4 linked regions of the Lonchura striata genome follow. The protein of the gene in region 3 interacts with the protein of the main gene of each other region in a biochemical or structural test. Links are inferred from orthologs where the notes say so. Each region holds a gene or a part of one and is shown on either strand. Other genes may lie near its edges.

Region 1 (7,542 bases), on a different chromosome or scaffold from region 3:
GACTTCTGGGGTTTGAAGTACAGGCGAGCTCTGAAGAGCTATTCTAAAATAATAATTCAAAGATCTTATGGTCTTTATGGTCTTTAGCACAGCCCTAGAGCAGGACAGCTGACCTGGGGAAATGCCTTGGGCAAGTTTATACATGTGCTGGGCTCAATGCAAAACAGGTTTTCTCTTTTATTGTAGTCATGTCCCGCACTGTCGCTGGTAGAATTAACAGTGCTCTCACTGCTTATGATAATAAAGCTGGCACTATATGAACTTTCTGCCAATGCTCAAAGCCTGAAAAATAAAGTTAGCTCTGAAGAGACAAAATAAGTTTTAAGCAAGCAGGACTCTGTCAATTCTTTTAAGCAATCCCTGCAATAAGCAAAACTACAGGCAAATACGAGCATTATAAAGTTAATTCATGTTTGAATTAACTGAATCACTTAAAAAAATGTCTTCATGCCTTTTACAGAACAGATTTATCCCAAACACAACTATCAAACACTGCAGGTGATACAGCCAGTGATTAGATCACCCTTTTAAGTTTACAATATAAAAGCATTATTTACTTTTACTTCTTTATCAACATAGTTTTTATGACTATAATAAATTTTGCTTAGCACACCTTTCACTTTAGAAAAAGAAACAAGCATGGGAAGCAGAGAAGAAGAGCATCTTTCCATCTGCAATTTTCTGCCAAAAGACTAAAAGGGAAAAAAACCCAAAAACCTCAATCCAGCATGGTTTGGCTTTTGACTGCATGTTGCATTCTGTGCATGCATGGCCTACAAAACCTGAAAGCCATTGATAGCTCTTGCTCATTAGGTAACCCAGAAGCATAGGCCAGTCTAACAGCAGGTCAGATTTCACCCTGCCCAAAACATGCAGTCACTACTCCTTACCTCCTCCATGGAACTCACAGAACACAAACACCCTCACATTCGCATTTCACTCATGATCAACTCAGTCTTCCTTCCGAGTCCATGTCAACTCTATCTCAGGAGACCACCGACAGAACAAGTCAAACTTCTCTACCACAAGTTTGGGAAAACAGCTGCCTCAGATAGCGAAAACCCCAAAGCTGCCTGAACACTGTTCTCGATGAGAACTTGTGCCTTCCAAGATGTTAGCTACTGATACCCATGGAGCAGAATTACTCAGATACCATTAAAATCTGATCCCAACCACAAGATATCCTCAGCTCAGAGAGCTTTTGTCATCTGGCATCTTAATGTGTCACTCTCTCATGTGTTCAGTCAGCCCTAGAAGCAGTAAATCGCATTTGTGTATTAAAGAAAATGTTCCCTACTCGCTCAGGAATACACCACCTCCTTTCCACAAGTGACTGCTTCCTCCCCATAGGTCTTCACAGATTGGATTCACACTCTTTGTTAAATAAAGCTTTACCGTATCTCTGAGCATTTATAGTGCCATGACTCAGTTAAATTCTAATCAGCCTGCGAGCTGTCTGACACTGCAGCAGGTCCCCTCAAAATAAAACAAGGAATAATATAGTCGCCAGATTCCAGAGAGATGAGGCAAAAGAGGACAACTTCCACTTCAGCCTTCTTAACAACAACATAATCCCAAAGCCAGAAATCCTGCTGTTTTTTCCCAACACCTCCAACATGTGTCAAGCTATTTTATCTGAATCCTTCTTTAAATTAAAAGCCCAGTAAATCCCCAGGAATACACAAGAGAGAAGAAGAAAGGTGCAGCACAAACACAAGGCTGTCTGCTCGCTACAACGCTGCCCCCGTTTTGCCTACACTACGTTTCCTTAGGTCTCACTACCTCCCAACTTAATCACCCGCTGACACTTAGAACGAAAAGCCTCAAACAACACGTTCTGCAGGGAAAAACGAAGGGTGGCAGTGGCAGGAAGAAAAAAAAATTAAAATTCACCTTTAGAGGGCTTCGGGGACACACCAAAAAAAAAAAAAAAAAAGAACCACCACGTCTGGAAAAGTAACCTTTAGTCTAGAAGGGAAACAGCGACGTCCCTAAGGAGCCCGAAGCGATGAGAAGGCATCTTTGGGGGGCGCAGGGAGCCGCGCCGCGCGGGGCCGGCCCCGGGCTGGCGGCGGGCCCGCAGGTGGCGGCGGGCGGGCAGCGCCAGCGCCGGGAGGCGGCGGGGCGGCGTGGCCTTGCCCGCAGCCCCGGAGCGAGCCCGCCCGCCCGCCGCAGCCGCGCTCCGAGCGCCCGCCCGCCCGCCGCTCGCACCGGGCGGGGCGGCGCGGGTCCCCGCCGAAGGGGCCCGGCCGTGCGCTCGGCGCGGGTCCCGGTGGGGGGGCGGAATAGTAACTTTTCCGTTCCGGCGGCTCCCCCAAACCCACCGCGGCCGGGCAAACTTTCCGCCCGCACCGCGGGCGCCGCCGCCGCGCCGGGCTCCCCCCGGCATTGTTCCCCGGTAGCGCGGCCCCGGCCCGGCCCGGCCCCGCTCGGCCATTTCCCCGGCGGAACAGCGCCGCGCTCACCCCGCGGCCGCCGCGGCTCCTCCCGGCCGGGCCGCCCGAGCCCCCCGGAGCCGCTCCGGCCGCAGCCGCCGCGCACGCCGCCCTGCTGCCGCGGCCGGTCCCGGCGCTGAGCCCCGGGGAGCGGCGGCTGCCGGAGCCGAGTGCCCAGGCGGGTCCCCGCGGCCGGAGGACAGGACGGGGCCGGGCAGGGCAGGACGCGCCGCCTCCCGCCACCCCCGGCCCCGCGCGTCCCCCCCGCCCCGCGCATCCCCGCGCACATACGGGGCGAGCCGAGCTCCGCTGCGCTGCTCTCCGCGGCTCGGGGCTCTGCTGCAATGCCTGCGAGGCTGACTTTCAAAGCCTAACCCGCAGCCGCGATCCTCCCTCTCCGCCTTCCACCTCGCCCGCCGCGGCGCAGCCCGGCCCCTCCCCGCGCCGCGCCATTCATCTCTCCAGCCAAGTTTCTTAACCCTTTGGTAACCTCCGGCAGGAGGCGGGGCGGGATGCGGGCACGCAGGGATGCGCCCCCCGCCCCGCCCGCCGCGGCGAGGGCAGGGCAGGGCGGCCGCCCGCACGTACGCGAATCCCAGCCCCTCCTGCCCCCTCTAATTAACCTGACTGAGATCGCAGAGCCTCCGGGAAACTCACGAGCGACAGCACCGGAGGACCCGTATCGGATGAAAACGGCAGTGGCTTATAAATAACACTTTATTTTTTTCCCTTTTTTTATTTTTCTTTTTCCTTTCCCCCTTCGGCTGCTTTGGAATAATAGGGGGGAGGGCGCTATTCGTGCTACTAGTACTTGTCAGTTTACAGCTTAAGTTTTCAGCCTTTCCTCCGAAAAAAAACCACGGGCTAGAAAGTTCAGTGCTATCATTATAATTATCATTATTGTTGTTGTTGTTACTACGCTATTTTGAAGGAAAAGCCGGGATGCTCCCGGCAGCGGCCCCGGCACCTGCGGCTGCTCCGGGGTGGCGCTGCCCCGCTTCCCGGCGCATCTCCTTCTCCCAGGGCACCGGGAGCGGCGAGCATCCCTGCCCGGCGCTCCCTGTGCCGCGGGGAAGGAGGACGGGGGGGCACACCAGCTCATTAAAGCCACGTGGCAAATAAATGCAGTTTAGGAGGGAAATAATAATAATAATAATAATAATAATAATAATAATAATAATAATAATAATAATAAACCAACCCGGAGCAGAGCAGTGCTTCCCAAGAAGAGTCAGCCCTATATTTTGCTAGGCGACGTCCCCCAAAGCTCTGCTGTCAGAAATTGCACGGAATGTCAAGTTGTTCTTTAGACTTTGCTGCCACCAAAGAGAGTACGCAGAGATACAGGCTGAGCTTGGCTGTACAAACGAAGCTACAAAGTGCATGCGACCTTCATCACACCTCCTGTGTGCCTGTGTTTAACAAACGTCTCGCCGTGTCGCACACTGTCTGCCAAACGCTTTACAGAATACTTCATGATACTTCACTTCTACAAGTCAAAGACTGACGAAAGAGAAACAAATTTGTTTGCAAGTCACATATAAACTGCATGGTAATTACTGCATTAACACATGCCCACCTTTTAGTTTTAAAACTCAGGTAAAATAAATGATCTATTCAAGCGTCTTTTTAGTGGGAGACTAATATTAAAGAGCACAGGAATTTCCACTTTAAAGAAAGCGAAAGGGAGTCACATTTATGAAAAGCTAAGTATTTTAACTGAGTGATAACATGAATGAAAGTAGATGTAGGAATGTTAAATAAAACCTCTCACTTTGGAATGTACAGATTGTGTACAGGCTTAGAGTGGAGCTAGTAATGTATTACTTGACCTATTTTTTTAAGCCAATGAAAGATTTAGGTTAACTTCATCATGTGTTTTTAACCACTTTCTTCCAGACATGCAGCAGCATTTTCTAAAGCCATTGCATGTCACAGTGTTTATACAAGTCCCTTTTTTTAAGAGCATAAGTCTCATAATATAGCCTACTTGTACTTCCATGAAAAGAATGGGTTTTCTCTTCCTTTCCATTATAGGCTCATGAGCAAATTTTGATCGTAAAGAAATTATCCCTAATTTTTTTATTTCACAAAGAATCTTCATCTCAAATTTTTTTCAATGCTAAGCAGCTGAGTTATCTGGGGAAAAGGAAATTTTCTCATTACTGCAGCAATTTATCTGCTATTTCAATCAAGAGTGTCTGTAGTAGAGACGTCTTTCATTCTTAACCTTAGGGAATGTATTGCGTAGATGAGAGACCTACAAAATGAGGAATCTTGGACAAGCAACATAAAAAAAAAATGTGTGTGTGGAGTATTTGTTAAAATGATTGTTGTCTGGTAACATATAGTTGCTTGAGGACACAAGTTTCAGAAGATACAATCAACGGAGACTGTATTAAATAATAAAACATAAAGATTTAGTAGGTTGTTTCCACTGCTTAATAGTTGTATCACAATGAATTGTGCCGCTAGTCCATGTTTACTTAACTATGAGAATTCAAACAATATACCGAATAAATACCCTGTACAAGTAAAGGAAAAAAATGCATCACGTAGTAAATTCCATCTCTCAAGAAGTATGAAAGTACTGATGTGAACTTGTTGGTCCTTTCTGAACGTTCTTCAACCAAACCCAAACACACTCTCACTCCCCAAACATAAAAGGTGAGCATCCATGGCTGTACCAATCCACCATCTGTGGGTGGTGTCTATACCTTCACTGTCCTACAGACATCACAAAATTTTGGACACTTTGCTCAATTTTTTTTCAAAGGGAATTCATCGCTATAAGATGATGTTAAATGGAAGGCCAGTTGTGACAAGGAAGCATAAACTACCTTTACATCAGTCTTGGAAGGGAGAAACTTATTATAGAGCTTACATTAGAACTCACTCCCAGAAAAGCAAACATTTAGTGGAGAGCTATTGGTGTCATACTTTGGTAATATCAGCAAACCATTTCTTTTATATATTTAAAAAAATATATCCTAATGCATTTTTGACCTAGGAAAACTTCTATCAAAACCAAAATATAACTATGATTCTAACATTCTTGAAGAACAAAATTAATCTGTCTGACCATTTAAAAAATGGTTAAATAAATGTTGATGTACCTACAACTTATCTTTGATAATTCTGATGATTACAATAGTACATTTAAAAAAGATAAGCAAGGATTCATCTTCAGTAGCAAACTTTGTCTTCAACTTACTGAAACAAAACACATTGGTGTGTGCCATATGGTAAAAAGATACATATTATCATCAAAAAGTAAATGCAAATGCTATTTTATTATTCCCAAATGTTTTTAAGCTAATGCTAGCTCATTTTTAAATCACATAAGGTGCTTTGAAGAGCTTGGGAGAACTACAGTTGCTTTTATTTTGATTTTTATTTAAGGTTATCTCAGCCTCTCAAAAAGCTAACCACTCTGAAACTACCTTTTTCAATCACAATAATTAAGGCCTTGCTTTATGGCATCCAATCATGATATGAGAGGCTTAGGTTGTGGTCGAGAAGCTTTACAGAAATGCATTTCCAGACTAAATCTTCCTCTAAAATAGTTTGTCAGCCTTACATAGACAAATAATGAAATTCTGTCCTTGACTCAGCCTAGTTCAATTCACGTAATATGTCAGATTAGCCACCATTCCAAAGGTGCCTTCACAGAGGATTAAATCACCTAGTTATTCCAGAATTTAGGGAGACACACACACACACACACACACCAAAAAATAGAAAATAAAAAGAAAAAAGGAATTATGATGAATCCTGTTTATTCAATAAAAGACTTCAAAGGAGGTTTGCTTAAATTAATGATCATCATATATCAGTGTTCATCCATAAATCTGAAGTAGTAAGGTGCAAAATTCTGCTGTTCTTCAGGGGTACTGTCTGGGAGTACCTGAAATCAGTGGGAGCCTTACAAGTGTTATCAGGGAAGAACTGGTCCAGGGAAGGGTTCTTGCAGGGGGGTACCACAGGACATCTCCTGTTTTCCTCCTGACAGCAGCAAGTCTGCAGCTGTTGGTGGTAGAGTTGAATGACACAATGATGTGTAAAAGGAAGAGTAAGATATTCTATGGCTGAAAGTTATAAAAACTACACACCAGTGCTTTTTCATCTACCTAGATTTAAAATTATGAAGGCATTTGCATGCATACATCTATCATTCCCTACTGGAGTTGTTTTCCACTTCCTATTTTTTTTTTTTTTTCATTTTTTTAATTACAGAGTCTACTTCCATTTTTACAAGTACTTCCAAGCAGGTCATCTGAGAGGAATGTACCCTTAGTAGCTCAAATTAACTTTTTTTTTCCTTGCATTATTTAAAAGTAGACTTCAGATCGTGACTATTTATTCTAAGAGTAATAAGCAAAGGACCAGATGCTAGAGTCTTTTCAATTACAGAAACATTTAAAGACAGCTGTACCATATAAACTCTCATGGAGGAATCATATGCTTGCAGCATCTGGTGAGTTTTGGCCATGCCTCCAGCACGCTGTATCTGTTCTGAGGCACGAGCTAGGGTGAGGCTTACTTTGCCATGTGTGTTTTTGGGGTAGAGGTCTGCAGGTTTTTGACCCTAAATGAGGAATAACACTTCAGGTCTTACATTTAGTGGCAGGAAATAAACACTACTTGACACCTTTTATAGAAGAGTCAAAGGGGCTGGCGCTAAATTGATATGACTACCTTACATTAATTATTTTACCAGAACAAAATACCAGGATTTTTTTATCCAGAAGAGAGCATCCTGTACTCCTGAATTTCCTTCCATTTCATCCCACTTGCACAAACATGAAGATTATATTTCTGAGAACATTGTTCTGATGAGTCACGTTCCTGGTAGTGTGAAAGCACATCCAGAAAATAACCATGCTGGAGTCCCTGCTCATCAACTGGCAGGAGAAAGCAGCAGCAGAGCAGGTACTGCACTGCACAAGCACTGCTCCTACTTGGGGGTATGCAAAGATAATGTCTGAGAAGGTTATAGGCATGCAGCTGGAGCTGTTCAGAACACTCATTTTCCTTTCAGAATTTTTCTCTGACAAAGCTGAATTCCCCATGTCAGCAGCAAGAGATTGAAAGAGGACTGAAGAAT
Region 2 (7,752 bases), on a different chromosome or scaffold from region 3:
TTTATTTTAATAAAGTGAACAAATGTTTCTTCTTGGAAACAGTTTGATGAAGAAAAAAAGTCTCTCCAGATTATATTTGAAGCTCAACCTCTCCAGCTACCTGTTTCTCAGCCAATTTCAGTACTCATACAACACACAAGGCTGGTTTGGTGAAGCATTTTTCAAATCACATCCTCTCTTTTGTTCAAGACAGACTCCATTCTACCAGTCTTTCTTCAGGCTTCTTTTTGTGAAACTCAAGCACCCAGCACGGGCCCATAAGCACCCTGTCTGCTTATCACTGCTCAGGACATTTTCATTTGCAGTTCTATTGCATTCCTTACTTAGGACATTCCTTCCAGCAACAGATTCCTTGATGCTTATTTCTTCAGTTTAGTCACAGTAATTCCATAATTTACATGAGAAGAGTCATTTGTTATCCAGCTTTCTAAGATTATGCTCTTCCTTCATTTCTTTGTGTCATTCACATAAGCATTTTGCACAACATATTACCAGAAGAGGTGACAGTTTTGCACCACTTTGGTCTTTCTTACCTTCTTGTGAAAATTCAATAACTCCTCCAGCTGTAACAGATTTCCTCTATATTATCAGTTTTGGATCCATAGCAAGTGAGTTTTTCCCAAACCTAACTTCAAATTCACAGTTTTTTGGTATTTTTTGTACCAGTTGGAAAATGGATAGTAGACAATGCACTTCAGTTTGGCCATAGCTAGCTAATACACAGTCCCTGTCATTTTAACCAAGTCAAACACATGACCAGTAAAGATACAAAAAATACTCAGGGTGAGTGTAAGTTTCTTCTTCCAACTGCACAATGAACTCTAGTATGGAAGCATGAAAGTAGCTTGGGAGAAAAGTCAAAAGGGTAAAAATAATTGTCACCAAAAGTACAGTATGTCTGCAAATCTTTAGAAGGAGGAGTATGTACTGTGAAATCATTAATATAAAGAACCAACTCGTAATCAAAAGGAGGGAGCAGAGCTACAAGCTCACTGTTGCTGTGATTCATTATCAAGCAGATGTTTGAACAGCACTGATGTTTTAATTCTTATGATGCATCTCATTTCTCATTCAGCTACAGATCCCTATTTCTGCTATATTTATAAAGAACATCTGGGAATGGACCTGTATTGTTCATGACCTCAAATCTCAGAAGACAATGATAATATTGCTTCTTACACTACCTTGCAAACTCCTGAGCTTGTATCTATACCCTCTTTCCTATTTCCAAGTATCTCACCTGAAATACCTCATTAAACTCCAGAGTTTGTGCTTTTTCTGTTCCTCCCAGAATCTCCCTCCCACTTATAGACATATGAGCAGTAACATGTCTTGAATCAATCAAGTATAAGTATACGGGCTTTGGGTCTCACAGATTTTCCCACTCTGTAACTTGATTAGGCAGTCTGACTACGACATACTTTACATGCTAAAATTAAAGACTGAATGAATATACTAACACAGACACTCGCATAGATGAAGAGGTTCAGCATATCCTGTTAACATACTTGGGAGCTCCTCAGATGTTCTGAAGCAAATCTCTAGCTGTTCCAAGTATTTCTTTCTCTGAAGAAGGCGTTTCCTTTAAGAATTTCTGCAAACACTTTACATATTCGAGTGGTAATCTTTGGTCAGAACTCTGGCAGGATGAAGAAGTATTCCTAACTCCACTTAAAGAACATAAGAATGTCAACCTGGAGCTACTACTTTTCACCTGATCTCTCACTACATATTCCAACAAGTACAACCTCCACTAATACCTATCGATTAGCTCAATTTCCATCACACTTCCTCTTTCCTAAACAAGTTTTTCCAAGACCTTCACCAGCTTCCACAACAGGACGAAATTGCCTTTAACAAAACTAAGCGATCCATTACACCCAGCCTAGGAGGGCTAGGGGGGAAAAAAAATCAAAAACATTAGGAAAGTAGCTTTAAACGGAAGGAGTTTATTCCACACCTTCTACAGCGACATGTACTTTTCAATCATATTGACAGAGGCTACTGTGTCGGCACACGAGCGTAACAAAACTTCCTCGCGGTAATTAGCAAGTAAATGGCGCATAAGCGCATCAGCAGAGCCGCCCGGGCTGCCCACGGCCCCAACAAGTGTTGTTATTGTTCGGCCGCCCCGGTCCCCGCCCAGGCCGGCGGATGACACCTGCAGGACTCCCCTCAGGAAGAGCCTGTCCTGCCGCTACGTTCCTGTGCCTTGTCATCAGATCAGCCGGTGCTCGGCTTCTTTGCCGGCCAGGGGCCAGAGCCTGCCGGCTCCCCGAGAGCAGCCGCCCGGCCCGCGCCCACCGCCCGCAGCGGGAGCCCGGCTCTCAACGCCCCGGTCCTGAGAAAGCACGGGAGTTCTGCCTTCCCTCCCAAGGTGGGAAATTTAAAAAACAGCGATTAAAACAAACCGAGCCACAGCACAACCCCGCCGCCAGCCTTGGCGCTGGCGAGCATCTCCTATCCCGGCAGCTCCGCGGCCGGACACCCGCACCCCGCCCACGGCACCCGGTCCCGACAGCTCCCGTCCCCACACGGGCCTCCGGGCTGGAGCGGGCAGCACCCCGGGCAGCGGCAAGGGGGTACGGGCAGAGAGGGAGAAGGGTCACTTACTGGGCGTGCAGTGCATCGGTGAGGCTTGCGAAGAGACGGGCGAGGAGGGAGGCGCCGCCGGCGGCGGCTCCTTGAGGGCGGCGGCAGCCGCGGGGGTCAGGACGGGGGGCAGCATCAGGTACCGGTCCGGCGGCGGCAGGCAGCGCTGGCACACCGAGTGCAGGCACGGCAGCAGCTTCGGCCGCCGGCTCTGGATGGACTGCCCGCACACGCCGCAAGTGTCCAACAGGTTGAGCGGCGCCGCGTCCCCGCCGCGCTCCGCCGGGCCCTGCCGGCTCTCGGCCTCGTTCTCCCCGCTCAGCGCCGCTGCTGCCCCCGGTCTGTCCGCCGGGCACGGCCCCCCCGCCGCCACCGCTACCGCAGCTGCTAACGCCCGCGCCGCCTCTTCCATTGTCCTGCGCCGGTCGCCGCCGGAGAGGCGAAGAGAGGCGGAGCAGCCCCGCCGCTTCCCGCCCGCGCCGCCGCCGCCTACCGGCGCCTGCCCCGCCGCGCCGCCAACGGACGCCCGCGCGCCGCCAACGGACGGACGCTCCCGCTCCGCCCCGCCCCGGACTGCCCCGCCCCGCCCGCAGCCCGCCCCGACCCGCCCCGCCCCGCTCCGCCCCGCCCCGCTACGTGCGGCGAACGCTGCCCCGCCCACCTCGTCCCGGGAGCCCCGCCCTCTCCTCGGCACCCGCGGCCGCTCTCTCTCACCTGGGCGGTACCTGGCTCTGTCCGGGTGAGAGGAAGGCTGGGAAGTTCCTCTTGAATTTGAGGAAAAACTTCTTCACTGTGTGGGTGACCGTGCTCTGAACCCTCGGGTTGCACAGAAAGGGTGTGGAGTCTCCCTCGCTGGAGATGCTTAAGAACTGTTTGGATACGGTCCTGTGCCATGTGCTCTAGAATGACCCTGCTTGAGAAGGGATGTCGGCCCAGATGACCCACTGTGGTCCCTTCCAACCTGACTCATTCTGTGATTCGGTGAGACGTCTTTGTCCCTTGGACAACACATTAAAAGAGGTCACCCTTCTCCCTGCCCTACGTGCAGGTGAGAGGCTGTGAGTCTTGGCCTGTATTTGGCTTGGCCGATCACAGCAATACCACCACATTACCTGACTGAAGCTATTTGGTGATTGGTACAATTAAAAAGATACAACAGAAAAGTACAATTCTTGTTTAGACAGAACATTGTATTGAATCAAAGGCCTTAAGTATTGTGCTGGTGAGACATTGGAGAAGGTTACCCAGAGAATTGTGGATGTCCCAACCCTGGAAACGTTCGAGGCAATGTTGGTCCCATACTGAAATCAGACAACAAACTTTCTAACACAATTTTAAGTATCAGACAACAGACACTCTTTATTACCGTGCTGGACACATCAGAACGATAGCTCTGTTAATCTGATGTGCTTCCAGAAGGTACAAGTTATTTATTCCATCATGATCATACATACTGATTACAGTGTACTTCTGGCTAATACATAAACATCACTTTTCACAGAACTAGTTTGCATGCATCTGCCTTCTTCTCTCCTACTCAAAGCCTTTTAATGTCCCTAAAGGGTAGTCTGAAGGGGTCTTTGTACTCACCAAGTGCCCCCAATATTACAGATGACCTTTCCTTGAACTTCTCTTAGGGCATGTACTGCTGCTTCTTTTGAGATAACTTGGCCCAAGAAGCCACTATATTCCTCATTATCAGTTTATCTACTGGTTCGAGCCCATTTATCATCCTGTGTGCACACTTTCACATTCTTTTATCATTTTTTGTTAGCTGATCTATTCAGCAACTTCAGGGGAACTTAAAATTTGTCTTCTCTGTGTTATCTATCAGGACAGGACTTTGAGCAACCTGGTGTAGTGGAAGGTGACCAGCCCATGGTAAAGTGGGGTGGAAGCAGATAATAGTTAAGGTCTCTTCTAACCCAAACACTTCTGTGATTCTGTGAGCTTCTATGAAGTATGCATGCAGACACAAAGCTAGATCTAGCATGTTGGTTGCTACATCGACCATAAACCAGATTCAGGCTCCTCAGAATATTCCAGATGTCTGTGCTTAAATTCCCAGAGCAGCTAGAATACTTCCCACTTCCTTGCAATTTCTTTAAGACCCTAACAAAGGTCCCGTAATAAATAGGACCATAAAAAAAGCCATACATGATAAAATACTCATTTCTTCAGCACAAGGAACTGTGTACAGGAGCAGCATCATGATTCAGCGTGTCTCACACGCATAATTTATCATGGTAACAGGAGAACAATACTACAGGTTGTACTGGGGAGGAGGAACGGATTTGGCATTACAATGAGGAAATGTTAAGAGGGAAATGTCATTCTCTGATTAAGAATATCAGTGGAGGGGACAAGCCATTACATTCCCAACCCCTGACCTGCCAACACATAAGGAAAAAATGCCTCCAGAAGCACCTTCCTGAAGTACACCTTCTGCCTCCCAGTCCAGCTGCCTCTGTCCCTTTACTAAGAGTGATCAAGTGGTAGGAGAGAGTCCTGTAGTTTCCTCCCCCCACCGATTTGGTTATTCAACACCATATGACAATGTGCTAACAATCCATTGTGGCAGGACCTTGCAGGCTGAGAGCATGCCAAGTGTGAATGATGAAATAGATTCTGGAATTAAAGTTAAGGAGGATGGTACAGGCTCTGCAAGATGAAAATTACCAAAAATGCCATTAGAAAAGGTCTATTGAGGAATAGGCAATAATTGAAGAATGGTTGATTAGTATTGAGAGCAAACATGATCAGAAAATCAGTAAATAGTACATTTGTGAGGAGTAATAGCAAGTCGTAAGATCATCAAACTAGGTAGTTTCTTTAACTAGTATGAACTATTTCTCTAACAGATGTCAGCACAGGAAAATAGCAATACTGTATAATGGTACAAAGATTACCCTGTAAAAGAACTGAGTAGAGGCTGTGTTGAAAATGATGATCCCCATGAGGCAGTGTCCCAAAGATTAGTAAAATAATAGGATTATGTTTCCTGCAAAGTTTGTTTGCTTAGGATGTTTGCAAAGCTTGCTCAAACTGTGCTGTAAAATCTGTAGTTGCATGGCATCAGAACAGCATCTGATTTAAAATGAAAGTTTGGACTTGCATTATTTAAATTTGAATGTAGAGCCTTCCTGTTAGTTATGGCATCATATTAGGAGTACTTGGGATAGAAACAAAACGGGCATGGAGGAACAGAAAAAAAAAAACATCCTGAGAAAACCAACCATTCAGTACATGTAGACAAGGGAGGGAGGAAAAAAACTTTTAAATGTAACCACATTGTTCAGGCAAAGTGTGACAAGGATAGGGGAAAGAAGTGGCATCCCGTTATACCGACCTGGGTGCACAGCTTTTGGCCACAGCTACACCATACCTGGCTACCAGGGATCACAGGCAGAGCTGGCTTGGGGCTGTTGGAAAAGGGCATGTAGACAAACCCACACAGGGCAATACATGCTGTACTCATTTTTGTGTGAAAACAGCTGATGGTTTTGTCTAGTGACTTGTTGGGCTCTCCATTGTTCCACTGGAATGAGTCAAACCAATGAAGAAAGAATGACGATGGTGACAAGCTGATAGCTGGAAATCAAGATGACTAGCTAGGAAACATCCAGAAGCTGAGGCTGCTTCTCTCTTCCCTTTCTATGCTACTCATTACTTTTGTTTACAATTTGTTTTAGTACCTCCTCTGCTTCTTCTGGACATCCCATTTAAAGCAAATTCCATAAGCATTTTGCCTTCTGTTCAGACACACACTTTGTGGCTGCAATCTAGATCTTTGCCATTTGTAATCTATACTCCTGTGATATCCTCCACAAAAAGTTATCATTCAGAAACTTCAGCTGCAGAAAGAAATGACTGCCAGCTGCACTGAAGAACTTCTCAATGGAGTTCTCATAACTAGAAGTTCCTTTCACTTAGAATTTACTTGCTGGCTCTGATTTCCTCCTTTTGTCCCTGGTTCAGTTTGTCTCTTTCTTGTAATTCTAGATTGTCTAGCAGTCACTTGGTCTTGCAAATGCAACAGATGCAAATCTTTCCAGATTACCATCAACATCAGCATGTGCATTTCCTCCTCTTAAAACAGCCATGTGACACTAAACAGTCTCTTTCCAAAGTTTTTTTACAGACTAAAATAAAACCATGGGGCTTTGCAGTGTGCCAGCCCAGTTTAACCTTTATGTGGCAAGAGTGAAGGAAGTGGGGAGGAGAGTCAGCACTCCATCTGTGTCATTAAAACATGTTTTTGACACAGTAGTCATCCAAGAAATAGACCTGGCAGCTTTCTGGCCAGACTGTATTACAGCAACACGAAGCAGTCACTGGGAGGATGTGTCCCAGAATATATAGCCTTTACTGGCCTGTGTTCTTTTAAGAAATGGACATCTTAATGTGTAGTTGGTTTTCAAAATCTGTAAAATATAAAATATGTTCACTAGAAGTAAGATGAATGCATTAGGAATGCATTAATGGTTAGGGAAATGTAATATATTAACCTTTCCAGCAACAGTAAAGTAGGAGAATTTTACATACTAAAGCATCTGGAACAGGCAATGAATGAGCATAGTGCTGCCCAAACTGTGAAGGTTGAATTAGGAATTGATCTAGAATATAGCTTAGATCTGTAGGCTGCCTTTTGGAATTCCACAATCAAGAACCCATCAAGCTACACTTACTTTTTCTTTCAGTGAGGAGAGAGTGAGAAAAATTACCTAGGATTTTCAACTTTCGGTTTTCTATACTTCACTCACCTAACATATACAGACACACATAAAACTTTTCTTCCAGATTGGAGGATGGTTTCTTGGAAACCTCTTTTGTGTCCTATTATTTATGCTCTTTACCCCAGTAAAATATTTCTCCAGTGCCTGGCAAATAAAAACTGAGACTTTCACAACTGAGATTTGCTTGACCAGTTTCAGCTGGAAGCTCACCACAGATAAGGCTGGGTCCAGCACCCTGGAGTGGGCCAGCTGCCTTGTAATGTTTCCAGTTCTCCATGCAACATACCTCCACTGCAAACTATGGAATAATATCACCTCTGCACACTTTCCTACTAGTTTTGTAGTCAGAGAAGACACTCTGCTTTTGTAAATTTACCTTGGGTTCATCCCATTAGATTCCCTTTCAGGGAAAATGAACTTGCCT
Region 3 (7,437 bases):
GGCACTGGGATGGCAGAGGGTGACAGCAGCCAGCCTGGGAAATGCCCGGGGACATGCTGTCCTCATGGGGAGCCTCTGGCTGGCATCTGCCAGCAGCTCTCCAGAGAAGCAGGAAAATGAGATACTACTATTAAAAGTGCCCAGTGCTGGCCACACTTCCAGCCATGACATCAGCAGCCTTATCTAAGTCTAACCACGGGCAGGACTTGGCCAGGAACCACCAGGTTGGCCTTGTTGGGCCAAACTGAGCTTAGATTTTGATGGGGACACAGTAATGGGGTAGAATTTTGGCCGTGTTGCTGCTGTTCCCCAGCTCAGGCCTGTACTGGTATGCAGGGAAACAAATCCCACAAGCTGGGCTGGTTTTCTCCCCTGGGTATTTCCAGCACCAGCTCCCAAAAATGGCATGAGATTGGGTTAGTGAAACACACCCTGGGACCCTGCAAAGTTGGGACCTGGTGGGGTTTGGACCATCCTGCCTCTAAAGAGTCCCCATGGCTCATCCAGCTCTGGTTTCACTGGGACAGTCTCAGCTCACATTCCCCTCAATCCCACAAACTGCTCCCGAGCTTTTAGACACAACCTGCCTGCACTGCCCAGAGCAGGACCAAGATCTCCCTCTCCAACATCTGCAGCAACCACTCCCCTTGCAGCCAAAGGGATTTTTCCCAATAATCAATAACCAAAGACCAGCACATAAAGTTTGGGAGTCTCTCCTCCAGCAGCACAATCCCAGACCACACACCCCAAACAGCCCCCACAGACAGACAGACAGAATTTTCTCCTCAGACAAGGAGGAGATGTTTTAGCCTCCCCCAGCAGGTCCTGGGGGGCTGCCCTGTTTTTCCTGGGGATGCTCCTGGTGTGCTGCACAGTGTGTGGCGCAGCCCCACCACGCACACATTTCTAAATGAGCAGATAAATCAGTTGTTTTCCACTTGCAGCAGCGTGAAAACCCTTCCCGGAGCCAGCAGTCACAGACTCTTCCCCTCCTACCCCCTCAAACCAACCTGACTAATAACACAATGTATTTTTTAGTCTTTACAGCACAACAGGAGAGTTCAGGACCGATAGAAAACACAGCTAACATACACAGAGGCCTGAACCCGCCCGGATCAACCCAGATTTGGATTGTCTTCCACAACAACATCCAAGGAAACGTGAATCCCCCAAACAGCCACCCCGAAGGTTAAAGCACTCCAGTGAATAAGAGAGGCTCCTTCTGCTGGGATGAGCCCCAACAACCGCACTGGACACAACCAAGAGGAGCTGGTTTGATTTGGAACCAGGGACACACTGCAGGTGAGATGCTTTTGGCCCCAGCAGCATCTCCCAGCCCAGACAACAAGGGGCACTCTGAAACTGAGATTTTTGGGGGCACGGAGATGCCACCTAGAGCTCTGCCAGCCCACATGGCCAGGGTCTCTCCTGCCAAAGCCCCCAGACCACCACAGCCCTGGAAAAAGCCTCTCAGCGGGCTGGGATTGCAGGAAACATTGTGATGTTTGTATTTATTCTGCTCTTTTTAAGGAACGACTGAAATTGCGATTTGTCAACAACACAAGCAAAAAAAAAAAAAAAAACCAAAAAAAAAAACTGAATGAAAAAAACAAAAAAACCAAGAGGAAGAAAGAATCAAAACAGAGCAGCGGCAGAGATTTGAAGCCCGGAGAAGGCAGAGGGGACGGTCTCGCTGGCTGTGCTCGCTCGGCCGGAGGCTGGGAGCCAGCGGGCTGAGCGGGGACAGGGATGGCAGCGCTCGCCCCTCTTCCTCCTCGCCCGGACTTGGCGCCAGGCGACTTCGCTCAAACTTTTCTTCCCCCCACCCCGAGCACTGAGCTCTGCAATATCACTTCTCCTGGAAGCGAGACGCAGGAGGCATTCGCCCTTACAAGCCAGGACTTGACTCAGTCACCGAAACGATGGCAAACTCCGGCTGGAAATAGGGTTTTAAACGCAGCTAAAAGGAGGAGAGGGAGGGGAGGGGGGGAAAAAAATTTAAACAAAAAGGCAGGAGGGTCCCAACCGCGGCGGGTCAGGGAGCCGGAGATGCGAGCGGAGGGGCCGGGCGCTGCCTCCCCCTGCCCGGCTGCGCGCCCCGGATGCGGCGGGGAGAGGAAAAAAATAAAAAAAACGGAGAAAAGTCAAAAATTAGAGCATAAAAATAAACCGAGAGGAAAGGCAAGAGGGGGAAGCGCTGCCGAGCCCGAAGCAGAGCCGGCCCCGGGCGGGGAGGGGGCTCTGCCGGCTGCCGCTGCCCCGTTCAAAGCGCCGCTGCTGGGGCCGCTGCCCGACCGGCCCGGCCCGGCTCGGCCCGGCTCGGCTTCCCGGCCGGGGCCCGCCATCCCCGGGGCTGCGCTACGGCAAAAAAAAAAAACCAAAAAAAAAAAACAACAACAGCAGAAAAAACAACAGCAAACCAAAACAAAAATACCAACTCCAAGGCAGGGGCCGGGGGCCGGGGCCGGCCCGCGCTCGCCGCGGCGCTCCCCGGGGAAGGGGCGAGCGCATCCCCCGCCCGCCGGCCCCCGGTGCGCGCCGCTGGAAGGGGCAGCGGAGCCGGGGGTGGGTGCGGGGGGAAGCGGCAGGACAGGCGGTGATTTTATCGTCCCGAAGCACCCGCCACCCCCCGCGGTAGGAAGGGAGAATCTCTCGGAACAGAACTCACCCAGCGGCAGGAAGTGTTTGGTGTCCATGGCTGGTGCTTAACTCATGCCAAGGGGCTCGGCGAGCGCGGCGGCGAAAACACACAGGCAGGGCGGGCGGAGGGGAGGGAAATCAGCGCGGGGGGAGAGGGGAGGAGGGGAGAGAGGAAAAAAAAAAAAACACCCACGGGGAGGAGGAGGAGGAGGAGGAGGAGTGAGGAAGGGAGGAGGAGGAGGAGGAGGAGGAGGCAGCGGGGAAGCTGCAGCTCCGCAGCCGAGGCCGCGGAGTTGTGGCAAACTCCCGAGAACGCAACTCCGCCGCTCGGCTCCGCCGGGCGCGCCCGGCTCCGCGCCGGGGCCCGCGCAGGGGGAGCGGCGGCGCCGCGCCCGCCCCGAGCCGAGCCGAGCCGAGCCGAGCCGAGCCGAGCCCGGCCGAGCCGAGCAGCGCCGCCCCGCGCCCGCCCCGCCGGCCCGCCGCGCTGCTGGCTTGATGGGTTTTTCTTTTTTTAGGATTTTTTTGGTGGGTTTTTTTGGTTTTTTTTTTCTTAAAGTGATGGGGGAAAATGGGGGGAAATAGAGGGGGGGAAGGAAAAAGAAAAGGGAGGAGGGGAAAAAACAAGAGGGGAAAAAGAGGTGGCGAGAAGGGGTAAATAGAGATGGGGAAAAGGGGGGAGATGAGAATGGGGAGAGGGGGAAGGAGAGGAAAACGGGAGAAGGAAAGGAGAGGGGGGAAAGAGAAGGAAAGATAAAAGGAAAAGAGAGGGGAAAGAAGGAAAAGGAGAGGAGAAAAGAGGGAAAAGAAGGGGGAAAGAGAAAAAAATAATAAGATGTGCGTAGCGCTGCAGTGGCAGCCTCGGGAGGGGAGCAGAGGGGGTTCTGGAGAGATGCTGAGCAATGCCAGCTGTGCCCAGCCCCGAGCATCCAGCGAGCCCCCGAGCCCGCTGCCCTTCCCCGGGGTGTGTCACAGGGCGGGCAGCGCTCAGAGCGCGATTTATTCCATTTCCCATCCGTGAGGCACAACAAATAACTCGTGTGTGTGTGTGTGTGTGTGTGTGTGTGTGTGTGTGTGTGTGTGCGGCTCCTGTGCAAACTCTCACCTCCTGGGCACCGCCGGTGCCACCCCAGCAGCACCGCTGGCTGCTTCCCAGAGCCCCGGCCCCCCTTCCCAGGCAGGCCTCCAGGTTTAATAAATGATACTCAGCCCTGTAAGAATGTGTATTAGTGGCTTGATGGACCAGAGCGACTCCGCTATGCATGAAGCATATTAAACATCCTATCGACCCTCGCTTTCCACGGCCGTAACATGCATAACAAACAGGCTGGGGCCACGCTGCAGCTGCTCACACACGCTGGGGAGCAAGGCTGGGCACTCGGCGAGGCTGGGGTGACACCAGGCAGGCTGGGGTGACACCAGGGACAGCTGCTGGGGGGGTTCTGCTGGCACAGATAGCTCCCAGCTCTCCTGCAGTGGGGTAGCTGGGACAATCAGGGATGTCCCAGAAGCTCTGCCATCACCTCCCTGTGTGGCAGGTCCGTGGAACGCTGCTCCGCAGCCTTATCTGCCCTGATTTATTCTTTAATTGGCCAAGTGTCTCGTGCCAGAAATATTAGCAAGCGAGCAGCTCCTCCTGGAAAAGTGAGGCCTCTTATCTGCCACCCACCGTATCCCTGCGGGCCCTCATCGCTCCATCTCCTGCCTGTCCCTGTGGGGTCTCCAGCCACACAGGAGAGGCTCTGGAAAGGCCCCCAACACCTGGATTTCTCCTACAACTCTTCTGTTGTAGGAGAACACAAAACCCTGCCCTTCCTGCAGGGCAGAGCCACGTGGGGATGGTTGGATGAGGGGTACACAGCTGGCAGCACCTCAGGATCCCAATCTGGGACCTCTTCACCAGTCCATCTGCTTTAGAATAAAAATTCCAAACCCACTGCAATCCACCTGAAGAGCAAAAACACCAAAAAGGATCCGTCTTGTGTCAGGCAAGCGGCTGCAAACTGACACTCAGGTGGAGCTGCAGAAGTTAAAACTAAATAAAGCGTCTCGGATCCTTTTAATCCTCTGCTCCTGTAATTCCAGCATGTCCAAACAGATTTTGGTGTGTGTTTATAACTGGTAACTTCATTTGCTCCCGGGCCGGGACCTTAAATGCCAAGTTTCATCTCCAAGTCAGTTTTTTAAGAGTGAGTTACATCCACTCCTGGGAAAAAAAAAGAGGAAAAAAGGAAATACGTAAGGAAATAAAAGAAAGTTGGGTTCAAAGTCTCTAAGAGTACAAAAATCGTGGATTTCATGGATATCTGTGTACAGACTGACAGCTCAAAGGTAGAAATCAGTTTCCTAATAGACAAACTAAAGCTCATCTCTCCGATAAGGGCAAGCACAGCTCGGGGCAGAGCTGGGCTCTCACCTGCCTGTCCCCACCCCGCTGGGTGCCCAAGGCCTTTGGGGCTTTGAGTGTGTCCATCACCAACACAGGGGTGGGGATCTCACCCCAAAGTCCCATCCCAAAGCAGACTCATCTCCCTGGCTGCAGCAGATCCCAGGGTTACGAGAGCCAGGGCTGCAAATCCACCTTTGCAGACTCCCAACACATGAAATTACCATAACCAGGACATTTCATGCTCCTCTCCCATCAAGCTGTTTAGAGCAAATTAAATTTCTCCCTAACCAGGCTGTAACAGTTCATGTTAGATGTGGATCTAAATGTTAATTGCAGTGACAATAACAGGTCTGATCCTGCAATCCTTATTTGAGTAAAACCTCCCACAGAAGCCGAAGGAATTTTGCCCCAGAGAAGGCAGCTGGATGCAGTCCCACATTTCCAGTCTCTTGAAGATGCCAGAAGGTAAGCCAGGATATTTCTGTGATGTTACAAACCTTCTCTTTCCCTTTCCCCTCCCTTCCACCTCCCATGAGTTCTTTAATGCACTATTAATTTAATAAGCTGCCTAATACTGTGCTCACCTTCAGCCTCACACTTCCCAGGAAGGACTTCAATCATCATGGGGGAGCACATTCGGATAATTTTGGCAGCTCGTTGCCTTGTACATCTGGTTGGTGCAGGGATGCTGGAAGGTCCTGTGCTGGCTGGGAGAGCTGGCTTGGCAAACTGCTGCTCCTGTCCTCGGCACCCATGGGTGATGCCAACGCCCTTCAGCCTGGGCTCCTGAGGAAGGCAGGCTGATCCAAGGGGATCATTTAGGGGTGCCTGGCCTCAGCTCTCAGTCCTGGCTGAATTTGGCAGGGAGGGATGCTGTGTTCGTCAGATAAATCAATTAGCAGCTTCTCCTTCCATCCACACTCCCACCCCATTACCATCCCTTTGGGGCAAAGGGAACCAGGTGCACGTGGACCTCAGCACTGAGAGGTTTTGGGAGCTGGGGCCACACTCAGAACTGGGCACTTGGGCCCAGTGAGTGAATTTGGAAATCACAGCCTCTAGGATTTTTTTTCTAAGTGGTTCCAGTTTTTCTTGTCCATAACCCTGAATTATCTGATGGGAGACAAAAGCAAAACCTGCTGTGCTTCCCCTACTGTTTTATGCCCTCCTGCACAGTTAGGAAAAAAAATTAAATCTATTTTCCTGCCTGGCTGCATTTTGTTACAAATTAAAGAAAGAATAAATGCAAAATCTGACTGAGAAATAATAGAAGCTCATGGGTTGTGTCTGGGTTCCATCTCTAGATGCACATGTGTGGCAAGCACATTTCTGTCCCTCTCAGGATTTTTCATAGAGGTGCACAGAGAGAAATGAAAGAGAAAACAATTTCTATTTCTGCTCCTTGCTTTTCCATGTGGAATGTGTTTGGAGAATTGTTTCCCTGGGGTGAGTGCTGGGATGGATTCTGGTGAGGATTGTTTGAGCCTTGTGGCCAATCCAACCCACCTGGGGCTGGGCTCTCAGAGAGGGTCACGAGTTAAGTATAAGTTAGAGATAGAATCAGAGAAAGTAGTATGTAGTTTTATTATCCTCCTTTTATATAATATATTGATGTATTTTAGCATAATTATAATAAAGAAATCATTCAGCCTTCTGAATTGAGTCAGACATCAGCATTTCTTCCCATTGGGTTTGCCTGCATTTACAATACCCATGGAGGCTGTGGCAGGTGGCCAGAGGTGCTGTGATGTGGGAGGAAGGGTGGCTGTGGCTACTGGCCTGGGGCTTGTGGCCACCGGGTCCCTCCCTGAGCAGGCAGCGTGGGACTCCAGAGATCTGAGAGCCAAACCCAGCCAAGGAAAGACACCCTCCACTGATGCAGGCTTTGGGGGACCTTCCCAGGCTTGTCTTCACCCCCAGTCACCTGCTCTGCCAAAGTCACTGCAGGTTCCAGCACCAGGATCTGTGTTCCCTGTGTCTCCCAGCAGAACTGCAGGAGAAAAGTCTCTCCTCTGTGCAAATTCCTGCCTCGGTCTGTGGGTCTTCAGGACAGCACCCACCTCATGCTCTCAGGGGGAAAGAGGAGCTCACAACCTGCTTTTCTTCCCTCTAGGAAGGAGAGAAAGACACAAGAAGACTTTGGGGGGCAGGTCAGAGACTCTGGAGCCTGAAAGTGGAGATGGTGCCTGACCAGAGCCTTGCAGGACTCTCAGCATCCCTCAGGCACACCCAAACCCCTGCAGCTGCTCGGGGGGTTTCTGCTCCTCGGGGACACACAGAGCAGCAGAGCTCCAGGACAGGCCACTTGTGTCACTGCTGCAGACTCACACTGCCTGGTTTTGTTTCCCAGCAGCATTTGCCAGGCTGCTGGTGTTTGTTTATCAAGTGAGTTTGTCAAGTGGTTTATTTGA
Region 4 (7,534 bases), on a different chromosome or scaffold from region 3:
GGCGCCGTTTTTCACAACCTCTGCTTAGCACATTCAAGCTACAAATTCAGTCTTGAAAAACAAGAATTCTGCTAAGGTTACAAGTACAGAACCTATAGCTTCCAAGCTCCTTATTTTGTCATTTTCCACATATGGATGGCATGTTTCACACTCTAGAAACAGAACATGGGTTCTACTGACTATACAGAAATGTCTGCTCTTGATTTAGCCCTCTCTGCTGAGAGATCCATATTTCTATCTAGACATTGCATATATCTCAAATTGAGTTTATTGTTGTGGCAACAGCACACCTAGAATGATTTGAGGCAACAAAATGTGGTTTGATGCTTACAGTGATTATAGGCAACATGCTTTTGATAAGCAGTATTCATTCATTCCTTTACACACAGATGACTACTGAAATTTCACTTTAGGGAAGACCGAATGGGAGTCCTTTGCTTTGGACACAAATATGAAGAGTCCTCCCTCATCCAACAGGAAAATGAGCAAAGAGTTCTTACAAGTCAAATACATTTTGTTGTGGAAACCAGGCTAACTCATAAGGCTACTGGACACAGGATGTAATTTTAAGCCCAGAGCAGAAGAATAGCTTGAACTCAAGATACAACTGACCACAAAAGGGAAGAGCACAGGTTGAGAAAGTTGTCTCTCAGAAAGATGGAATCCATTTGCTGAACCACGTCTGTTGCAGGAATTGAAGTATTAGAGCCAAGGTGCAGGCTACTAATGATAGAATAAGCAAAGCAAACTAAACCCAGAGGGGGGACACAGCTGTCCTGTGCCCAGAACTCAAGCAGGGCAGTCACTGTTCTGTCCTATGAGGAAGCTCACACAAGAAGCCTTCCTACATGATGAGCAAGTTTGCTCAGTCACACGAAGTTATAACTGTACAGACCTCTTTCCAAAAAGCAAGCCAGGACACGTTTTTCTGTCAGGCTATGCTGCAAAATATCCTTCCAGAATAGGTTTTTTAGTACTAGACATACACAAAGTTTACTTAACTACCAAAAGCCTGTCTAAATGAAGAATATTTTATTGTAAAGGTCCATCCTTAACAAAGACCTCAAACATTGCTATTGAAAAAAGCAGCAAGTTAGAAGAAGAAACATCTTTCTGGTAGTGCTCAGGTTCAAGCGAAGGATAGCATCCATTATTTCACCAGCTGACTATTTCTTGTTCAATCTGTGAGCCTTCTGCATGTAAAGCATCAAGAACAATACAGCTATTTCCATTGCAAATGGTATGACATCCATCTGAAGCACAAAACTGCTACCAGCAAAACAGGCTCATATCCGCGGGATACTCAACCTACTGATTCATTCTATGTCGAATAAAAAGGCTGCTTGGTTTGTATGTGCTCATGCAATTTCTGCTTCAAACTTAAAAGAATAAACAAATGAAGTGGGCTTAAAAAACCCCAAGCCTTAATGCCTTCACCTTTTTTTCTTCCTTTAGATCTTCCTTGGGTTTTAAATAAAGGCCCTGGGCTACAACTTCTGCCAACATTATCTAAAAACAAACTCCCCAGAAGGAAGGATCGAAAGCAGCAGGTGCATGATTGAAATCAAACTCTCAGGAGTGAATACATTCCATGCTGCTACTCTGCTAGCAGGGCTGAGGTGTCGCCAGGCAGTGCTGTGCCAGCCTTTCACACACCCTCAGGAATATTTCCAAAGGCATTCAGCAGTGGACACCGGACCAGCCTGAAGTGTTATAATGACTGCACACAGCTGGCAAAGCAAAGAAAAATCTTAACATGTTATATAACATTAACTGTTTTCTTTCACCCAAAGTAAAAGCGGAACTGCCTAATATTCCATGTGCACCAGCAAAAATTATTCATTTATATGCACGGGAGAAACAAAGTTTAATGTGAGTGAAAACATGACAAGAATTATTTAGAAATTAATTTTCAAAAACCACATCATATTCAGAAACAAACATACTCAAACGTCTGCTTTAAAATTTAGCATTAAAAAAAATATCCTTTTACTTAGAGATATATGTTCTTATATGAACTTATATGATTGGAATGAAAATAATACTAATAAAAAAAATATATATATATACATTGAGCTTTTGGGGGGAAAAGCCTTGAAAAGAAATAAAACCTATTGTAAAATTGAGATGATCCATTACTATAAATAACTTTAAAAGACAAAAAGAAGGAATTATGGCATGTCTGTTCCGCAGTCCTGATGGAATCTCAGCGCAGGAAATATATTATCCCAGTAACCTTAAGCACAGCTTGCAACCGTATCAATGGCAACCACTGTGCACTCCCCCTTATTTTCTATTACACACGAAGAACCTTGCTATATTAAAAATACACACACATAACATACATTCTGTTGTGGAATGGTTCAATACAGTTACTAAATTCTTTCAACACTTATGCTCCCTCTCATTCATTTTAATGCCTTAAAATGCATAACACACAGATATGCAAGTCAAGCCCAGTGTTTGTTAGAAGGCAAATGCTTCTCAGACTGAAATCCTAAAAGCAAAAGGTCTGAATTAATATCACCCAAGCCTGTGTAGAGGAAACGAATTCTCCTGGAGCAAGGGAAAAGAGGGAAAACAAACAAACAAACCAAAGCATGTATTTCCCTGGTACAGATCGAGCTATCCACCTAGCAGGCAGCTATTTGCTGCCGATTCACTGGTGAGCTTCAGCCCCACAAATACCTTCTGCATATGTGATTAAGCCACTATGCATAGTCAATCTCCCAGCCTCGGTGACCATAAGAAAGAGCTGAGCTGGTACCCACCTAGAACGTAGTCGCTGCAGTCCAGCATTGCTGTGGTATCCTCTACAGGTTCAGATAGTCCAAGGAACGGGAGAATGGCAATTTCTATCAAATCTACACTACTGCTCTGACTGAACATGAAAGGGAGTGGGGAGGTGGGGGGAGAAATACAACTTCAGTTACACCATAGCAATCTTCAACCGAACAGGGAAACTTCAGTTGCTGTGTGGAGTTTTAGTCTCTCCTACTAGCTGTGTCTGACATTGTCAAGGCGACTGAAGCGTGAAAAGTTCCCCTTTTTGTAATAAAATAGAAACAAAGATTGCAGCTGGCAGTTTCCATAATGAAGCTTAATCAGTATGCGCCTGATTAGGGCCTTATGCAAATCTCCTCTCGTTAGCACAGCAGCCAGCACTTTGAAGTCCATGAACAATTCATTTGCAGAGTACACTGAAAGCGCTCCCTGCATAATTTAAATCACGGTATAAATATTTATCAGCTCATTTGCATATTAATTGGCAGTGCATGAAGGGAAAAATTATCTCCCGAGTGCCAGCATAATAATTAGGGAACAAAATGAATTTTCTTCCAATAGCTTGGCTTCTCAGCCCTAACTCAAGCACAGTACCACAGGGGATCAGGGAGGGGAAGAGACAGAGTTCTGTTCAAATGCCACTGAAATGACACGTACAAATTAGAAACAACTCTACAGACTTAAGCACCTTTAATCTTATTCCTGCTGGCAACAATAACATCAGTAATAAAGGGGATTTGGAAAAAGCTTTCCACACAATCCAAATAATCCCACGAAAACAATTAGCAAGGTAGAAGCTGAACACAAAGCTGTCAAGCCGGTGCTTGCGCATCTGCGTGGAGTTTTCCACATGCGAACACGCACTGTCTCAGCAAGGTCCCAGGCAGGGAAGAGAGTCCTGCCAGGGCAAGGAAGTGGCACGATTCCCTTTAAACGGCTAAAGAGCTTGGTGATTCATTATCGGGTAATCCCTTTGCCACGGCCAACTTAGCAGCAGTGGATATGTCAAGTATTGTGTAACATTTGACACCCATTAATCTATCCCGAGTGAAATCAAAATAGATTTAGTCTTTTGCTTTCCAGTGACTTCCAAGAAAAAAACCAAAAATCTATTACTAATCCCTTCAAGCATGCACACAATATGGCTAAAGAAAGCTTATTTGCAGAGCTATGGTTTTTCAAAGGGGCACGTCACACCCACGCTGCATCTTTGAACCACTTGGTGATAACCAGAACGTGCCTGCTGCTGTGACCACAAAAGTACACTGGAGCACTGGAGAACTGAGAAGAGGCTTTGGTCTATGGAGAAATCAATCTTCTTTTCCAAAAGTGGTCCAGAGAAGTAAGTGGGCTAACTATGATGTTCTATTAAACCATTTCAGATAGTTTGTTGGCCACTCAAAAACTTGTGTCCTAAACAGCAAGAACATTTGTATAAAAATTCAAGCATGATGCGACAATCACAAAATTTATTACTCCATAATCTGGTCAGGAAAAAGTAGTGTGATGATGCAGATGATTACAGGGTTGAGCCACCCACTTCCAGGTGCTAATGTGAATTTAAAGAGTAAGTTGTTTTTCCTTTAAAAATACCATAGCTGTACTTTTCTTCTCCTCATTTCTCAAGTGAATTCAAGCACCACCTCTACAAACAAGAGGGAGTGAGAGAAAAGGGACTTCTCAATCATCCAGTACTGACTGGAATTTATTTCCACGCTTGACCTCTTCTTCTGTTCAGGTTCATATCTCTACTTAACACAAGATGTTCCCAGCTATATATTTAACATAAGTGATCTACACTTGAAAAAGATTGCAAGAGAGGGAGAAGGTGCTCCCTACTACAAGGAGACAACTGCACGTGCTGAATAGGTTTTCCTAATACCTTGTTTCCAACCTGGTTTTCCACTCACTCATATGTCCCACTGAGACCTCTGAGGCACACATTCATGGTTCGCAGACCTTCAGTAAACTTCACTCCTGCATACATACTTTTGGAATGCACTGGGAGATAATCCGTTTGCTTTATCGGAAGAGCCTGGACAGCACTGGTGGAACAAACCAAGCACTTGAGAAAGCAAGGGGCTGAGCTGAGGCAGCAGCAGAGCAGGACAGCAGTGCTCTCCTCAGACCGAGGGCGCTGGGCTGGTGGAACACAGGTGCAGCCCCAGGGGGCAGGAAGTGACCTGACCGTTAGCATCGCGCACTGCGTGGCCATGGCTGATCTGCCTCACAAACACCAACCCCCACACAAACCCCCACTGGAGCTGCAACATCCACTAACAGCCTAATTGAACTAAAAAATTATGTGTTGACCTGTCAAATTAACAACTGGCCAACAAAAACCCAACCAAAGAAAAACGCTCCCCAAACCAACCAAAACCAAACACCACAAAAAATCCAAACCAAATTGTTCTTTCAGTGAGTTCTTCATTCTTTGGCAATTTTATTATCTTATCTTTTATCTAAGCTCATAGAATCATAGAATGGTTTGAGTTGGAAGGGACTTTAATGATCACACAGGTCCAGCTCCCTACTCTGGTCAGGGACAACTTTCACTAGACCAGGTTGCTCAAAGCCCCATCCAGCCTGGCTATGAACACTTCTAGGGATGGGGCAGCCACTTTTTGTTTGGCTCTGTTGTTTTTTTTTGTTGTTGTTTGTTTGTTTGTTTAAATTTACCATTGTCAATCTTTTAATCTCTGCTGCAGTAAAATAGGAAAATGGAAAATGTCTGGAGAAGAATGGTGACTATCACTCTGCTCCAAAACCAGTGGTGGAATACACATTCGTTTAATGTTCTCTTTAGGTTCTGCCACAACACTGCACATTCTTTTCTTTATGGCTAGTCATTAAAAGTTACTTAACACCCTGATCCAAGGACATACTTCTAGTACTCATGTTTAAGCAAAACAGCACTCTGGGCTTTGTTCACAGTTTCATTTTTCCTCCAAAGACACCTCTCAGAAGAGAAAATGCTGCACCTTGTGATAAGTAAAAAGCTTGAAATATCCCATAAAACTACAGATATCTCAAAAAATGTGTCTCTCGTTTCTCCTCTTCAGCCAATTCTGCAGTTTTTACATAATTATTTCCTCCCCCCTCTGCCCCCCCCCCCCATTCTTATTCAAACTCTTCCTTAAAATCAAAGGAACTATCATGGAGCCAGGTATGACAAAAGCAGATTTTCTTTCGCCAGACACTTTGGAACCTGCAGATAACATTTCAGGAGACTCTTTCTACCCCATTCACTTCTTTTTGTCACTTTCTATGTATTTTCCACACCATACCACTTCAAATGAATGTCTTCTTTTGCAGTCTGCCCCATGAATATATCACTTTCTTTATTCAGTTATAATGACAGTACCTGGTTCCTTAATACCACTGTTTTTGGAAAGGGAACATCATTTTTACCTGTAGACTATGCAACTCTTGGTTTTTTTTATATGGATGTGTTTCCATATATTACTAAAATGTCATTTACTACATGGCCTCCATGACAGCTAAGAAATTTCTGCCCTATCCAGCTCAGTGACAAGCATGACCTTTGCAAACTTCAGGGCCACACTTGGTGATTACCCAATAAGCCAACTCATTATTTCCCTTTTAAACAGTGTACTTGGAGTAGAGTGCAAAGGAATACATACAAATGGAATACAAAATACAGGGAAAGGAAATACAGCATTAGCTGAAACATTAGCATGCTGCCTTCATTAGTGTATCAATGCCTAGGACATTCTACCTTGAAGGTACTACATATTTCCAAGTCTCCAACCACCCAAACAAAACCTAACAAAAATTTCAAAAAACAGAACTCCAATGTGTTATTTAAAAAATTGTAAAAATCACACACTTCAACAAAATAAACTGTTATTAAAGTTGGCACAATCCTCTTAGAGTAATTATGGACAGACAGCAGTCTGTTCATAGCTAGGGCTGCAAGCTAACTAATTTTAGCCACCACCTTTGACTGTGGCTAACAGAATTGATTTTATCTGAAAATTGGTGAGTTAGCTCTGAAAGCCAAAAAGAGCAGTTGTCTGGAAAAGTCAAATAAAATTGGCCTGGTTTAGACTTACTGGTCATTAGGCAATTGCTATGAATTGGAATTTTAATCTACATCTAATTTTACTTCTCACAAACTCAAATCATAACTATCCTTTAAAACTTTCAATGACACAAAATGCCTTTCAAAATTCCTTTGTGTACATTTTGGAAGGAAATTAAGCATGTGGAGAGCTAAGCAGGAATGCTAATGTATCTTATCAGTGCAGGACAGCGGATACTTGTTAGCACCTGATACATTAATATAAAAGGGTTTGTTTATGGGTTTGGTTTTTAATGCAACTTATTCTTGTCCACAGAAGGTAGAAACTACCATGGATTAAGTCTTTTTTTCAGAGAAATAAAACTGTGTTCATAACAAATTTACAATACCATCACACAAGGAGGGAAAGAAAAAGGGGGGCAGTGATATGATGAGAGAAAATAAAATAAATACCCTTATTCAAAAAATACAGAATTATAACTTCCACAAGCAAATAGACTTATTTGAAACTCACAGCTAATTGTGCCACTCAGGTGTATCATCTGAACACTTTGCCCTCCCCTTAATGCCTTCAACCCATAGCACATAAGAAAGCACCCATATGATATTTACATAAGTTTTTCTTCCATCCTGTTCAAAGTTTTCTTTTCAATAACAAAGGCTACAAATCCAGTGCAGTCAATTCTTGTTGTCTAAGTAAATATT

Evidence for each region.
Region 1: the proteins of RXRA (region 3) and NRIP1 form a complex in vitro, tested with the Homo sapiens proteins (2 studies listed by BioGRID). The link is inferred for Lonchura striata from reciprocal best matches to the Homo sapiens genes RXRA and NRIP1.
Region 2: the proteins of RXRA (region 3) and TRIM24 form a complex in vitro, tested with the Homo sapiens proteins (3 studies listed by BioGRID). The link is inferred for Lonchura striata from reciprocal best matches to the Homo sapiens genes RXRA and TRIM24.
Region 4: the proteins of RXRA (region 3) and POU2F1 form a complex in vitro, tested with the Homo sapiens proteins (2 studies listed by BioGRID). The link is inferred for Lonchura striata from reciprocal best matches to the Homo sapiens genes RXRA and POU2F1.

What each region holds. Positions count from the first base shown.
Region 1 is NC_134604.1:8,744,365-8,751,906, reverse strand, and holds the start of NRIP1 (nuclear receptor-interacting protein 1), read right to left. Parts: upstream 3,008-7,542; 5' UTR 2,727-3,007; intron 2,528-2,726; exon of another isoform or gene 2,466-2,527; intron 1,921-2,465; exon of another isoform or gene 1,894-1,920; intron 1-1,893. UniProt on the Homo sapiens protein: Modulates transcriptional activation by steroid receptors such as NR3C1, NR3C2 and ESR1. Also modulates transcriptional repression by nuclear hormone receptors.
Region 2 is NC_134607.1:226,854-234,605, reverse strand, and holds the start of TRIM24 (transcription intermediary factor 1-alpha), read right to left. Parts: upstream 3,005-7,752; coding exon 2,614-3,004; intron 1-2,613. UniProt on the Homo sapiens protein: Transcriptional coactivator that interacts with numerous nuclear receptors and coactivators and modulates the transcription of target genes.
Region 3 is NC_134624.1:8,182,780-8,190,216, reverse strand, and holds the start of RXRA (retinoic acid receptor RXR-alpha), read right to left. Parts: upstream 3,014-7,437; 5' UTR 2,697-3,013; coding exon 2,669-2,696; intron 1-2,668. UniProt on the Homo sapiens protein: Receptor for retinoic acid that acts as a transcription factor.
Region 4 is NC_134604.1:14,930,939-14,938,472, reverse strand, and holds the start of POU2F1 (POU domain, class 2, transcription factor 1), read right to left. Parts: upstream 3,011-7,534; 5' UTR 2,890-3,010; coding exon 2,772-2,889; intron 1-2,771. UniProt on the Homo sapiens protein: Transcription factor that binds to the octamer motif (5'-ATTTGCAT-3') and activates the promoters of the genes for some small nuclear RNAs (snRNA) and of genes such as those for histone H2B and immunoglobulins.